2 linked regions of the Arabidopsis thaliana genome follow. The protein of the gene in region 1 purifies or fractionates together with the protein of each later gene. This does not show direct contact. Each region holds a gene or a part of one and is shown in the gene's direction. Other genes may lie near its edges.

Region 1 (7,389 bases):
GTTTATCGAACTTTGTCACCGTACCAGAATAGTAGCGACCCAAGAAAAACTTGCGAACTTCTCTACCCTCAAGCCATTCCCCGCTTCCTACAGTGCCACTTGATATTGGTTCATCTTTGGCAATCATACAATCAGTTTGAGGTTCATCAGGCACACCATTGATAACAACCGCAGGCTCCCCCGGTATCTCGAAGATCCCTGGAGGATGAGACTGTGCTTCTTGCTTAATGCTCCCAGTGTCCTCCATTTTTTGAGCTATCAACTGTTTAGAGAAAGCTTAACCACATAAGTAAAGATTTCAACAAAAGGTAATGAAGCATTAGCTCAATCACAGAATCTCAAAAACCAAGTGCATCTTTCATAGTTGTATAGATTTCATAAACAAATTGTGAGCAGATACGATACTCGGATCCAAAATTGAACGATTTATGCGACAAGAATCCCCAAAATACGATCCTAAATCTTATACGAGAATGGTAAAATTGTCAGCATTTGAGTAGCAGAAGGAACCCTAATTCCCAAACGTCCACATCAAAATAATCAAAGTACGAAAGAGGAGAAAAAACTCACCAATATCGCTCGGCGGATGAGATGGAAGAGATTTGGCAAACCGTCGTTATTCGTAGTCCGTCGAGTGTAAAGCCAGAGAGTTTGTTTGGAAACGCGAATAACTCTCTATTCGGGATTGACTAAATCTTTTTGCCAACCAGCCCTTATTTTATTTTGTCTGATTTTTGGACTTTTAAAATTTAAAAAGACAAATACACATACTGTAGTTTTGGTTTCATTGAACAACCCTTTCCTCCGCTAGTCTTGTCTGCCTTCTTCCGCATCTCTCTTGTCTTGAATCCGTTAAAAACATGATTGATCCCTCGCAGGCCCGGCTTAGAGGGTGTGCCGTTGGTGCTAGTGCACAGGGTCCTTTATTTTTTCATTCATTTTCTTTAAGCAATCAAGGTCCATTATACAAACAATAGTGTATAATCAAACTAAAATCTAAACATATAGAACATATATTAGAAAACAAATTAATGAGCACAGGGTCCCACGTTTTGTTGAGCCGACCCTGATCCCTCAAGTCGATTCCACGGTAGGTTCTATCTCTATCTCTTCTTCTCTTTTACTAATCCTTACTTGGGTATATTTCCGGTGCTAAAGAAAATACACGTGACAGGATTTTAGTAGACTTACTAGGCCAAACAATTTTTAGAGGTGGAAGTACACCACTTAATTTGATGCTGATCGTCGGAGACATCTCAAGACATATACAGGGTTATTGAGGGCTATTCGCGTTTTGGTTTCGAAAGGAAACTGCAGTGTTATCTTATCACAGCCTCAAAAGGTAGCATCAGGACAGCTACCTGATGGTGTTGAGACAGTATGGCTTTGGGAAAGCCTATCAGCTCAAGCAAAGATGGTGAGTCGGGATAGTGGACTAGTGGCAATCGAGGAGCTATTAACCAATTCGGTGAGTAGGAAAGATCAAATCATGCAATCGTGAAAGAAAACCAATTGAACCTATATATGAAATCTCTAACGATAAAAGACCAATCATTGAATCGATTAAACAATTATGGTTGATGATATTACATCCTTATAAGTTCATTCACAGAAAGAAAGATCAAAATGCCAGACAAAAAAAGAATTAGATATTACGCTTATCTTCAAAGGTAAACTAAGAGAGATCAAAATAGTATCCGTCTCTCATATCATCAATGAGAGCATCATGCGTGTGAGCCTAAAGATGATGAATTATCCATGTCATCGTCAATAAGCTACCGAAACCGATGAAGGTCACCATCCAACTGCTGGAAATCGGTCTGCCACCACGGCTCATATCTGCTTGTCCTGCACCCATTGAAGTGTCATCCGCTAATCGACCATTGTTGGCTCCCTTACTGCACATCATAAGATTTTAAAGAGTATTGTTGAAATAAGGTATATAGATTTGAATCATCAGTGAACAAAGCTACACAGAGAATCACACAAGTATAAACAAAGACATACATTCATGTATTGAACAATCTAAGAACCAAATCCATTATTACCAAAATAGGATTAGCTCTTATTGAGGAAACTGAAATTGAATAATTCAAATCACAAAGATAGTTTGAAATTGATTACCTCGAAGGATATTTGCAAGTTCCCTGACCTGAAAACACACATTGGGGGGAAAATTACTTCAACAAGATGCACATATGTATCTGAATCTAAGACTTGAATTTCTATTTCAAAAGAGATCATCATGATAATCCTGATTTCACTACACTACACTAGCAGATATAAGATATCGATTCTTAGAAGAAGGCTTTTTACTTGGATTGAGTGAAGTAAGAGCAGCGTTATTGTTGAAATTGCAAGCTTCGTCCTCCTCGCCGTTCTTCAGATAATAATTGTTGAAAACAAACGACGCCATTTTCTGAACATCCGTCGGGTCGTTACAAGGTCCACCTTGCTGAATCGGACCACAATCGGCTCCGCCTTGACCACAAGCCCACTCAATCGCCGTCTGTAGCGACGAATCTTCCGCGTTGTTCTTCGCCACACACCATAACTCCACCTGTATCACTTGACCGCCGATCTGCGCAGTCGTAATCACCATTAACATCGCCGCCGTCGCAGCGAGAATAGAGAGACGCAGATGAGAACACTGAGGGAGAGACATTATCATTTCCGAAGAGAGTAACGAGAGAGGGAGAAGATCAAGCAAAGGAGTGTTGAGAAGAAGGTTTTGAGTTTTTTTTTTATAACCGCTGATTTTGCAGTGGAGCACCAGAAAGTTACCGTTAAAGGTATCGGAGAAACTGGAAGATCTAACAGTGACAAGAGAGTGAATCTGAATAGACTCGAGAATATTTTGGAATGTTTCGTGAAAAAGAGAAAGATTCGGGTGTATCATGTAATTCTTGGATTTTAGCGCTAAATTGGGCCTCTATGTTGGCCCATGAAATAATGGTAAATGAGTGTTTGGGCCTTGGGGCACTGGCCAATGAAAAATAAGTGCTCGGATTATTGACGTGGCTCTTCGTGATTGGTTAATTTCCTTTCAGAAAGGCTTTTTGTCTCGCGACCGTCTAATTTTCTTCAGTTTAGCTTTTCCGAGGAGAAGATCAGCCATGGCTTCTTCTCCGCCGTCAGATCCCACCGATCGAGATGCAGAAACTCTTTCGCAGAACCCTAGTTTAATCGAGAAGCCGAGCGTAGTAGAGCAAGGAAGTCTTTCCGTGGAGAATGTCGCTGAAAAAGCCTTAAATTTAGAATCAACACAAGACGAAGAAACGCAGAACTTGCAGGATCTGGAGGAGTCCGACGGTAGAGATCAGCAATTAGAAGCTTCGCTTGAGGAAAGTAGGAACGAAGAGGACGATATGGACACGACGCAAGCCGTAAGCTCTTCTTATTACCGCCGTGGAGGTGGACCAAAGCGGAAGAAAGGGAATCAGAAGAAACGAAAGCAGCTAGAGAAGTCAAAAGAGAAACTTGAGGTACTTTTGAAAACTTTGAAGCCGATAGCTTTCGCTCCATGTAAAACCCTAGATTTTGCTCGGCATGAGAAGCTATTGAAGACGTTAGGTCTGTGGGATTTTGTGCATTTGGATTTTGATCAAAATATCCGTGAGGATCTAGTAGCGAACCTTGTTGCGTATTATAATTCAGAGCGTCGATGCAGCTATGTAAATGGGGCTAGGATTAACGTCAGCCGTCCCGATTTGGCTCGAGCGTTGAAGTTGCCTATGAAGAAAGACTTTGTTGTTACAGAGGAGGAGAGAGAACTTCTGGAAAACGATGAATCGGTTAGGTTTATTGATGAGATTGTTTCAACTTGTGTTCTACTGCAAAGAGATGATATGTGGATTATGCCTGTAGAGATTGTTGAATGGACAAGGGATATAAAGCAAAAGCATTTGGAAAAGTTAGACTGGCCCAAATTGCTCTGGTTCATGGTTGAGAAAGAACTGAAAGCGGAGCCTCCGCTTGGTGATTGTTTTTTTGCTTCTCATCTGCAGCTGTTGATCAAATCACAGAAAGAAGATTTGCTAAAGGAGAAATGTAAGGCTGATGATGAGGAGGATGATGATGATGATGATGACGATGTAAAGGAGGTTGATTTTTTGGTAAAATCACCAAAAGAAGATTGTTTGGAGGTTAAGGAAGAAGATGTTGGTGCTGCAGATTCAAGAAAGGATGATGGTGCTGTCGACTTGAAAGAAGACAAGTATGTGGAAGAACATATGCTCGAACTGAATCTCGGGCAAGAGACAGTGTCAGAAATGGTCTCTGGGGAAGAGCGAGGTCCTGTTGAGGGACAGCCAATGGATGTTGAGGAAAATAAGAAAGAAGAGGATGAAAGGTGGGCATGGAATGGAGACTCTCATGCTGGTTCTCATTTCCTTCGCCGTTGCAATCATAGTAGTGCCAGGGAGGGAGACGAAGATAATCATATAGAAGGATCCATGGAAATGGGAGAAGATGAACCAATTGAAGATGTCGAGGAAGAGGAAACTGAGGAAGATACAGAAAAGCATGAAGGGGGGTTTCCTTTTTTTCCAAATGGTGATTCCCTCCAGGGAGTTGGCCAAGGGAATCTCATGTTGGGAGATGCATCTCCGTTAGGTTACAACTCTGGGTTACAAATTCATGGCAATTCAATTGGTGGTGATTTCCTTGCTTCTAGGGGTGAGATGCATATGGCTATGGGTTCAGGTAGTTCTTCTCTGTTCGGGAATGGCAATAACAAGAGGGAGATTGAACACGAGAATGGTATTACTTATCATTCTCATAACCCCATTAATAAGAGGTTGAGGACCGAAGAACCCTCTTGGGATGAAAAACCACCCCCAGTTGACATGTGTTTGGATCAGATGGCGTACTGGGCGGAAAAAGCTAGATTGTCATTTGCTGAAAAAGATCGAGAGCGTGAACAATCTGTTATAAACCAGCAGTACCTGATGAACGAGCTACAAAGCAAGACAGCAATGATTCAGGAATTGGAAAGAACCAAGTTTGAGGAGCAACAGAGAAAAGATATAATGATCTATAAGCTTGAGAGTGAGCTTCGTATGATGACAAGTGTAGTTGAGGGTTATAGGAAGGCTTTGAAAATAACACAAAAGGCGTCAAGAGAGCACAGAAAACGTTGCCCTTTACGTGATGATAAACAAGTTTACATGGATGTCAAAGGTTCTGGAGGTTTAGTCCTGAGCACTACTGAAATTGAAAAGCTGAGATTGAAGCAAGAAGAGGAAGACAGGATGCAACGAGTTCTAGCTAAAAGACAGATTGACGATTTTGAACATAACTGGCTTAATAAATTTGAAGAACACATGGAGGCAGTAGAATTGCTGAACGAGAGATTGATCGAGAATGAGGATGAAGTGAAGATCTTGAGAGAAACACTTTCGGAAAGCAAGAATATTGAGACATCTGAAGTTGCTGCTGCTATGGAAGAAACTGCTACAGAAGAAACATGAGATGCTCTCAAGGTACGTACTATACTATCCTTTAAGAAAAACATGAGTCCCTGTTTCGTTGAATTGGTGACTGAACGTTTTAGTCGCTTCCTGCATCCATTATAGAGGAATCTTGAATCTACTGTTTCCATGTTCAAAATAATATTATGGTGATGTCCGAGTATATCATATGAGTAGTGAGAGTGTGAGACACACAATAAAGAAAACCGATTTTAGTAGATGAGTAGAATTTTGTAATGACTCGGAATGTTTCAAGTATATATGCATAAGATTCTAGATATCTCAAAATATTCTGTCATTATTATATCCACCAACACTTAGTAATCTTCTTCTTTCGCCACTATGGTTTATATTAGTTTTGTTTTGTTTTTGTTTAACTGCTACATATAACTGATTTTTCTCAAATTTGTCTGTCCCTGTAGGTTTGCAAATCCGTGAAGCTTTTGAAGCTCATTTGAAAAAGCATCAATTTAGCATCTTCATTTTGTATGATAGACAATGATGATCGAATCCAATATCTTCTTTTTATCTCTTTCTAGGAAATGTAACCAACGGTTGTGATCAATGCCAAGTCTCAACTAGCACAAAACATTCAATCATCTTTTGAGATTCTTCAACATACTCTGATGAACAGCTTCAAAAACTGATTTAATCTTAGACTTTTGACGATTGTGACAACAAGTAGTAGTTGAGTGTACCATTTTTGGAAGAAAAATATAAGAAATAAATAATGAGAAGAAAATTGAAGGAAAAGGTTATTTAATTGGACTTTATAGTATTAGACTATTAGTATATTCCAGAGTATAAAATTGTATATAAGGCCCAATGAGAGGAGTGAATTGGTATTGGCACTGACATAAGTTAAAAACACTGGAACTGACAACATCTCGCTTTCATACATATCCCAACAAGTCCAACACAAGACCACTAACCTCTTGTCTTTAAAAAACTTTCTCCTCTTCAAATTTTCTTTTTATAATCCTCTTCAAAATTTTAAACTTCCTACTTTGTAGCTTTCCTCTGTAACTTTACTCTATCCTCCATATTAACTTTGACTGTCTCATTCAACTTTGAAACCAAAGTAAAAGATAAATTGTATTTGATTAAACATTATTTACAAATTGTTAAGAAAAATAAAAAAAGAAAAGAAGAGGAAACAAAGCCAATCATGTAGCAACGAGACCGTAGTGGTCCAGGCCAAAGAACATAGCACGTGAACTTACAGCTTAGCCTTCAGATGTCTCCACGTTCTCCCTTTTCTTTCCCTTTTTTCACCCCACATTTTCAGATTTTGACCCACTTTGACCCTAATTACTCATAAAGGTTTGATTCATAAGAAAATAAAACTCACTAATCTTGTTTTCTTTGTCTGTAATTATACAATGTATGACATTCGTGATGTGTTTGTATTCGTTGATATATGTATATATTGATATATCATCTAGATTCTATATGACATCATCTAAATGTCCAGGCCCTACGTAAGGAAGTGGCTACATTAGCTAGTAATACCTTACATTTTCACTTGATTTTTTCGAAGGACAAAAAATGAAAAAAACCTGAGGTTAAAATATTATTAAATCATCATAATTAATTGATTTTTTCTTAACAATGAAATAATCGTACGAGTTTTTAAGGAATGAGAAATCGCTTTCAGTCACTTCAAATATAAATTTTGAAACTATGTGTTAACATTTCATGGTTCACAAATCCTGTTCTTTTTGTCACTAGAAGTTAAACAAGTATATAAATTGTTATATTTGTTTATTATATGGATGATGGCACACATCAAAATTTGAACCATGTGAAAAGAGGGAATCTTTAACTATTCGATTACCCTAAATTTGATGGAAAAAAAAATCATTCGGAAAAAATATCAATTAGTACACAATGCATAGACACTCCAACAAAAAAATTG
Region 2 (5,787 bases), on another chromosome or scaffold:
TAGTCATCGATTTTTGAATGGCGTAGTTTAAATGAGAAGAGACGAAGATTATGTATTTACGTAATTATCTACAACTATTAATCCTTGATCCATGTTCTGAACATATAATCATATATCGTGGGTTCCCAAAATATGATATTGAATCTGCTCATCCTGCACTAGCTATACTAAGATTGTTTTGTTGTCACTAAACTAAACAATAGAATGTCGTCAAAAGTAAAAGAATGATGAAGATGCGCACGTGCTTGTTAGTCGCAAGGCACGTGAGATGATCCGAAGAAGAATCAAAGATGCTTCGCTTGAAGCCATAACGATGTGTGGGGAAGACGGCAAAGCAATCAAGCAAATACTTTTCCTTCCTCTTCTTCTCCAAAAGTCGTTTGTTTTCACATTTCTTTCGATTCCCACTTGACTCTCCGAGAAACCTTTGCAGATCAACAAACCCATCTTCTGATTCTGGAAACCCTAACCCACCCGGTTCCGATTCAGACAAACGGGTCGGAGACCGATTTTGATCTCGAACTCGATTCTTTCTCAGATGAAAGTATCAAAAATTGAGAATTTGAGGTTGTTTGAGTCTTAATCATCTCGATCAATGTCGCGTTTTCCCCGTGGATTTGTGGAGAATTCATCAATGGAGGAACCCAAAATCGCTCGTCGTCCAACTATTTGCTTCAGACCAATAAACCCTTCTGATTTAGAACGTTTGGAGCAAATCCATCGTGACATATTCCCAATCAGGTAAATAAATACCTTTGTTTTGGAAAGAATTTATATGTGATCTGGTTTTGGGATTTGACTTTCCGTTTTTTGGAAGTGTCTTATCAAAGCATTTGATTTTGTTCAGGTATGAGTCTGAGTTTTTTCAGAATGTTGTCAACGGAGGTGATATTGTCTCTTGGGCTGCTGTTGATCGGAGTCGCCCTGATGGTCATTCTGAGGAACTTATTGGATTTGTTACTGCCAAAATCGTACTTGCCAAAGAAAGCGAAGTGAGTTGCTTTGTGTTTTGTTCAAGTGTCTTCCTTTTTCATCGTCTTGTTCAAGTGTAGATTTCAAATGTCCGAAATGGGTTTCTTTCCACTGGAGAAAATAAAGCTTCAATTTGTAACGTTTCAAGTTATTTTTGAAGCTTGTTTTGAATGGTTTTTGGGTTTTGTAAAGAAGATGCAATGTCTTGTAAAGTGAAAATTTTGAATGTTTGAAACATTTTCTTAAAAATTTCTTAAAAATATAAACTTTCTACAATTTCAACAGCTTTTTCTAAGCTTTTAAGTTTTGGTTGGAGCTTCTTCAGTAGTAAAACATTGTCTTCTCTTTGTTCTTCGCCTTTTGGGTTTTGGTTCTGAAATTTCGAAATAACTTTATACAGCAAGTAACAAGTAATTGTGAAGTGTAGATTTTGAATGTTGTTGAACCATTTCACAATGTCTAATGGTTTAAGCGTGAATTTTAAAGCCATGTACATTAGATGGGTTTCTTACGAAAGTTCTAGAAAATCAAAAAGAGCCAGCCACTTTATTAACATCTTGATTATGATCCAAACTTGTTTTGTACTTGTTCGTTTAATGTTAAGAGTCATCAATGGCTGTTTCTTGGGTAATATGTTGATAGATTTTCTATGTCTTGTACAGATATCAGATCTAATAAGATATGACTCGTCGAAGGGAGAGGGGACATTGGTGTACATCCTAACACTTGGAGTTGTAGAAACATACAGAAAACGTGGAATCGGTATTGATTCTGACCCCATGTAGTAAACCAATGATATGGATATTTTGTTGATGGCTTGATGCTTCTCTTCTATTGCTTGGTTTTGTTAATATTAAGTTCTGCAACTTTTTTGTGCAGCTAAGGCACTTATTAACGAGGTCGTCAAATACTCTTCTGGTATCCCTGTGTGCCGTGGTGTTTACCTTCACGTGATTGCACACAACAATCCCGCAATCCGGTTGTACAAAAGAATGTCTTTCAGATGTGTAAGGAGGTTACACGGATTCTACTTAATCAACGGCCAGCATTTCGATTCTTACTTGTTCGTCTACTTTATCAACGGTTCTCGCTCTCCTTGCTCACCCTTGTATGTACAAAACACAAGTATTTTTTGCATTCTAAATTCTGTTTGCTGTGATGTTTCTTTGCGGTTTCTTCATAGATGGGGTTATCGCTGAATCATGGCTGCATTGCAGAGATCTTGCGGTGTTGGTTCTGAATTATATGAGGAGCGGAATCAAATCTTTCGCATCAAAGCTGACGGTGAACCACGATGAGAAAGGCTCGAAATGGCTTAAAAGCAAAGACAACACGCGGTGTCTCTTGCCCACTCAGACTAAACGAAACCTTGCATCGGAAAGAGTATCATCCGGGTATGATTACGTATAGTGTCCGTCTCCCATTCATAGACTTTGTAAAATCATTCATTTTAATGTCTTCCATTAAGCTCTGGTTGTGATCCTATTGTGTGTGTTCGTGTAGAATAATAATGTGATAAAAATGTAAATATTGTGATGTGATAGTTGAAGACAACTCTTTGGGACGGAGGGTTCAATCCACTGTTAGTCTTATTGTCTTAAATTAGTTAGCTTGTTGAAAAAATTAGCTTTGTGCTTTATGGCGTGAAAACTAGCATAAGCTCATATAATTTACTTAAAATTACAAAAACAAACCCCAATACTTTTTTCGAGAAACCAGATCCTTCTTCAATTCTGATCATGAACAGCTTTTGGCTCTAATTGGGGCTAATTCACATGACATGGAATTAACTAGAGATGTTTAAACAGATTTAAAAAAAAAAAAACAAACCAGACCAATTTTCTGGGTTAGTAACAAATTTCAGTTCACCACTGTGAATGCTTAAATTGTAATTTAAAAAACAATAGGGATTAGGTATATAATAAATGAAAGTTAACGAGCAAACTGTGAAGAACGAGGGAAAGGGGAAGAAGGAACGGAAACATAGAATTAGGGTTCACAGTGCATCAGAGAATCATAATTTCTCTGTTTCGGATTTTTAATCGTACAAGAGGTGAATTGATATTGGGTTCGGTTCGGTTCAAGTAAGTTAAATATTCTCTTTTTCGCCGATTATTTATTGGGTCAATCTCACTATAATTTCGGTTCACTGAAAATTTGAGAAACAGAAGTTGTCCTATAACGATTTTGACGATGAGAAGAATAAATCGAATTCTATGAAACTTTTGCTTAATTACTAGTTCGAATGTTATGAATTCCCGTGAATGAGTATTCAAAAAGGACCTTAGTGTGTTCTCATTGTTTTGAGCAGTTTTTAGCTTACATAGATTTATTTGTTTGGTTTAAGATAATGCTTTGTCAGAATTATGCGAAGCCTAGCCTAGCTTATTATGAATTGTGTTTGTTCTGCAGATTTGAATAATATTAGACTCTAGTAGTTAAGATGTCAGTGAGAGCTAGGAGGATTGTTTCGGGTAGATCAGAGACTGTAGCAGCTAATTATGCTTTCGATCCGTTACATGATGACAAAATTATAAGAAATAGGCTTCTCACACGCACGACCACCACCAGAGGCGAACCTCCATTGAAGAAGCTTCAGAAGAAATTCACTTCTTTTGTTATTGAACTAGACAAAGAAGAAGATAACTACAGTGAGTGTGGTAGGCTCGCGAAAGCTTTCTTGCAAGAACTCTCTGCGTTTGAGATTCCGCTTCTTAAGAGCCAAGTAGTTGTCGCTGCAAATCTTAGGGAGAAAGAGAACTTTAACGAGCTTAAAGATGAGACGAATAGGCAGATAATGCAGGCACAAGCTGATATAGAAGATCTTAAGAAACAGCTTGAGGAGAGTAAGATAGAGAGACAACAGAAAGAGGAGTGTGAAGCCATTAGGAAACTTATCTCTGCGCAGCCACCGAGGTCAGAGACGCAGAAGGTTATACATGAATTGAAGAAGGAGATTGCAGAACTCGAGGCTGAGAATACAGCAAGTTGGAGACTTCTTGAACTAAGGAAGAAGCAGTTTGCATTGTTGTTGCATGTGGTATGTCGATTTTACGGGTTTCGTTGTGTTTTTATAGCTAAGATTCTAAACAAGATTTCGCCTTTCTCGTGTTTCTTTATGTTTACAGCTAAATCCTAACCTTTTTGGTTTTGTGAAAACTTTTATGTATAGGTGGATGAGTTGCAGGAGACAATGGAGGATGAACAGAAGAGTATGGTGGAAGAAATGCAGAGGAACATTACCGCTGATGGCGCTGAAGCCATGTCCATCGATTAGCTCCTAATCTTAGCAACTTTGTCTTCCTCTTGAATGCTAAAGAAACAAACCTTTCATTGATAAGAAGAATCTGTTTTATAAATTTCTGGTTTCTTCTGGTTGCCTCATAACCAAAATTGCTATGAAAATAAGGATATGTATGTTTCATTTTAACTCGCAGATTCAAAAAAAATAATGGCAGATCTTCTCGAGGTTTTGAGGACTATGTGAACCGGAAAGGTCAGGAGAAAGTGATTTATTTGACTAAACCAAGTTTGGTAATGATTCATCAGGAAAATAACCGGTCCAGAAAATTCAACCGACTAAGATTTATTCCCGTACCAAAGAATTTGCTTTTAAACCGGACTAATATATATACAGTACACGTATATCTTCTCTATTTTGCAAAATCGTTCTCCTCTCTTCGCCACCAGAGAGTCTCTCCGTCTCTTTCCACGGCGAGTTTGCGATCGTCCGCGGTTTGCTGTTTGTCGTCATCTCTCTCGTTTGAAGCATTCTTTTCTAAATTCTTCGCAGTTGCTAGGTCTTTATCTTCTAAACCTTACTATTCGTCGGTGTGCTTTCGCAATTTATCTCTAAACCCTCGGAAATTTCTCCTGCAATTCTGAGCTCTTTGTTCGTCGATCCGAATATTCAGTACTTTCCATTGAAGGTTTGATCTAGAGGTAATTCGAATCGGAATTTGATCAACCTTTGTTTTCTTTGATATTTCGTTTCAGATGTTTGCTTCTTCTTTTTTCCGATGAATTTCGAATCGCTTGACCTTGTTCCGTTTTCCGTTTATCCTCCAAAGTCTGAATATGTTTATAGCTAGCTAGATTCAGGATTTGATTTTACCTTATTTCCCCAATAATAATGAAATCCTTCTTAGGTTAGGGTTTTTGTGTTTTTGTGTTTTGTCACTAGTTTTGAAACCGAAAATTGTCATCAAGTGTGCAAGTACTTTGTCAGAGTAATGCCAATATAATAGTTTTGTTATTCTCATCTTGCTCGGCTGTAGTTTTGCTACCATTGTAATTGTTGTTACTGAGTAACTCCTTTTTCTGTGGTTAGGTCTTGACTAAAGTTCTTGAAAATGGAAGTGGAGAAGTCTAAATCAAGGCATGAAATCAGGGAAGAGAGGGCTGACTACGAGGGTTCGCCTGTTAGAGAACACAGAGATGGAAGGAGGAAAGAGAAGGATCATAGGAGCAAGGATAAAGAAAAGGACTATGATCGAGAAAAGATCAGGGATAAGGACCACCGCAGGGATAAGGAGAAAGAGAGAGACCGAAAAAGAAGTAGAGATGAGGACACTGAGAAGGAGATCTCTAGAGGTAGAGATAAAGAGAGGGAGAAAGATAAGAGTAGAGATCGGGTTAAAGAAAAGGACAAGGAAAAGGAAAGAAATAGACATAAAGATAGAGAAAATGAGAGGGATAACGAGAAGGAAAAAGACAAGGATAGGGCAAGAGTCAAGGAGAGAGCGAGTAAGAAAAGTCATGAAGATGATGACGAGACTCATAAAGCTGCAGAAAGATATGAACATTCTGACAACA

The links.
Region 2: the proteins of AT3G58110 (region 1) and THO7 fractionate together in Arabidopsis thaliana (co-fractionation; one large-scale study listed by BioGRID). This does not show direct contact.

Annotation. Positions count from the first base shown.
Region 1 is NC_003074.8:21,513,659-21,521,047, forward strand, and holds AT3G58110 (uncharacterized protein), read left to right. Parts: upstream 1-2,976; 5' UTR 2,977-3,116; coding exon 3,117-5,471; 3' UTR 5,472-5,483; intron 5,484-5,893; 3' UTR 5,894-6,204; downstream 6,205-7,389. Other genes in the region: AT3G58090 (Disease resistance-responsive (dirigent-like protein) family protein), read right to left, coding at 1-247; PDCB5 (plasmodesmata callose-binding protein 5), read right to left, coding at 1,739-1,898, 2,125-2,152, 2,317-2,899.
Region 2 is NC_003076.8:5,521,104-5,526,890, reverse strand, and holds THO7 (Tho complex subunit 7/Mft1p), read left to right. Parts: upstream 1-2,879; 5' UTR 2,880-3,056; exon of another isoform or gene 3,057-3,384; 5' UTR 3,385-3,415; coding exon 3,416-4,012; intron 4,013-4,144; coding exon 4,145-4,249; 3' UTR 4,250-4,474; downstream 4,475-5,787. Other genes in the region: AT5G16810 (Protein kinase superfamily protein), read left to right, coding at 1-31; AT5G16800 (Acyl-CoA N-acyltransferases (NAT) superfamily protein), read left to right, coding at 596-741, 848-992, 1,635-1,734, 1,852-2,055, 2,156-2,382; DOT2 (SART-1 family), read left to right, coding at 5,325-5,787.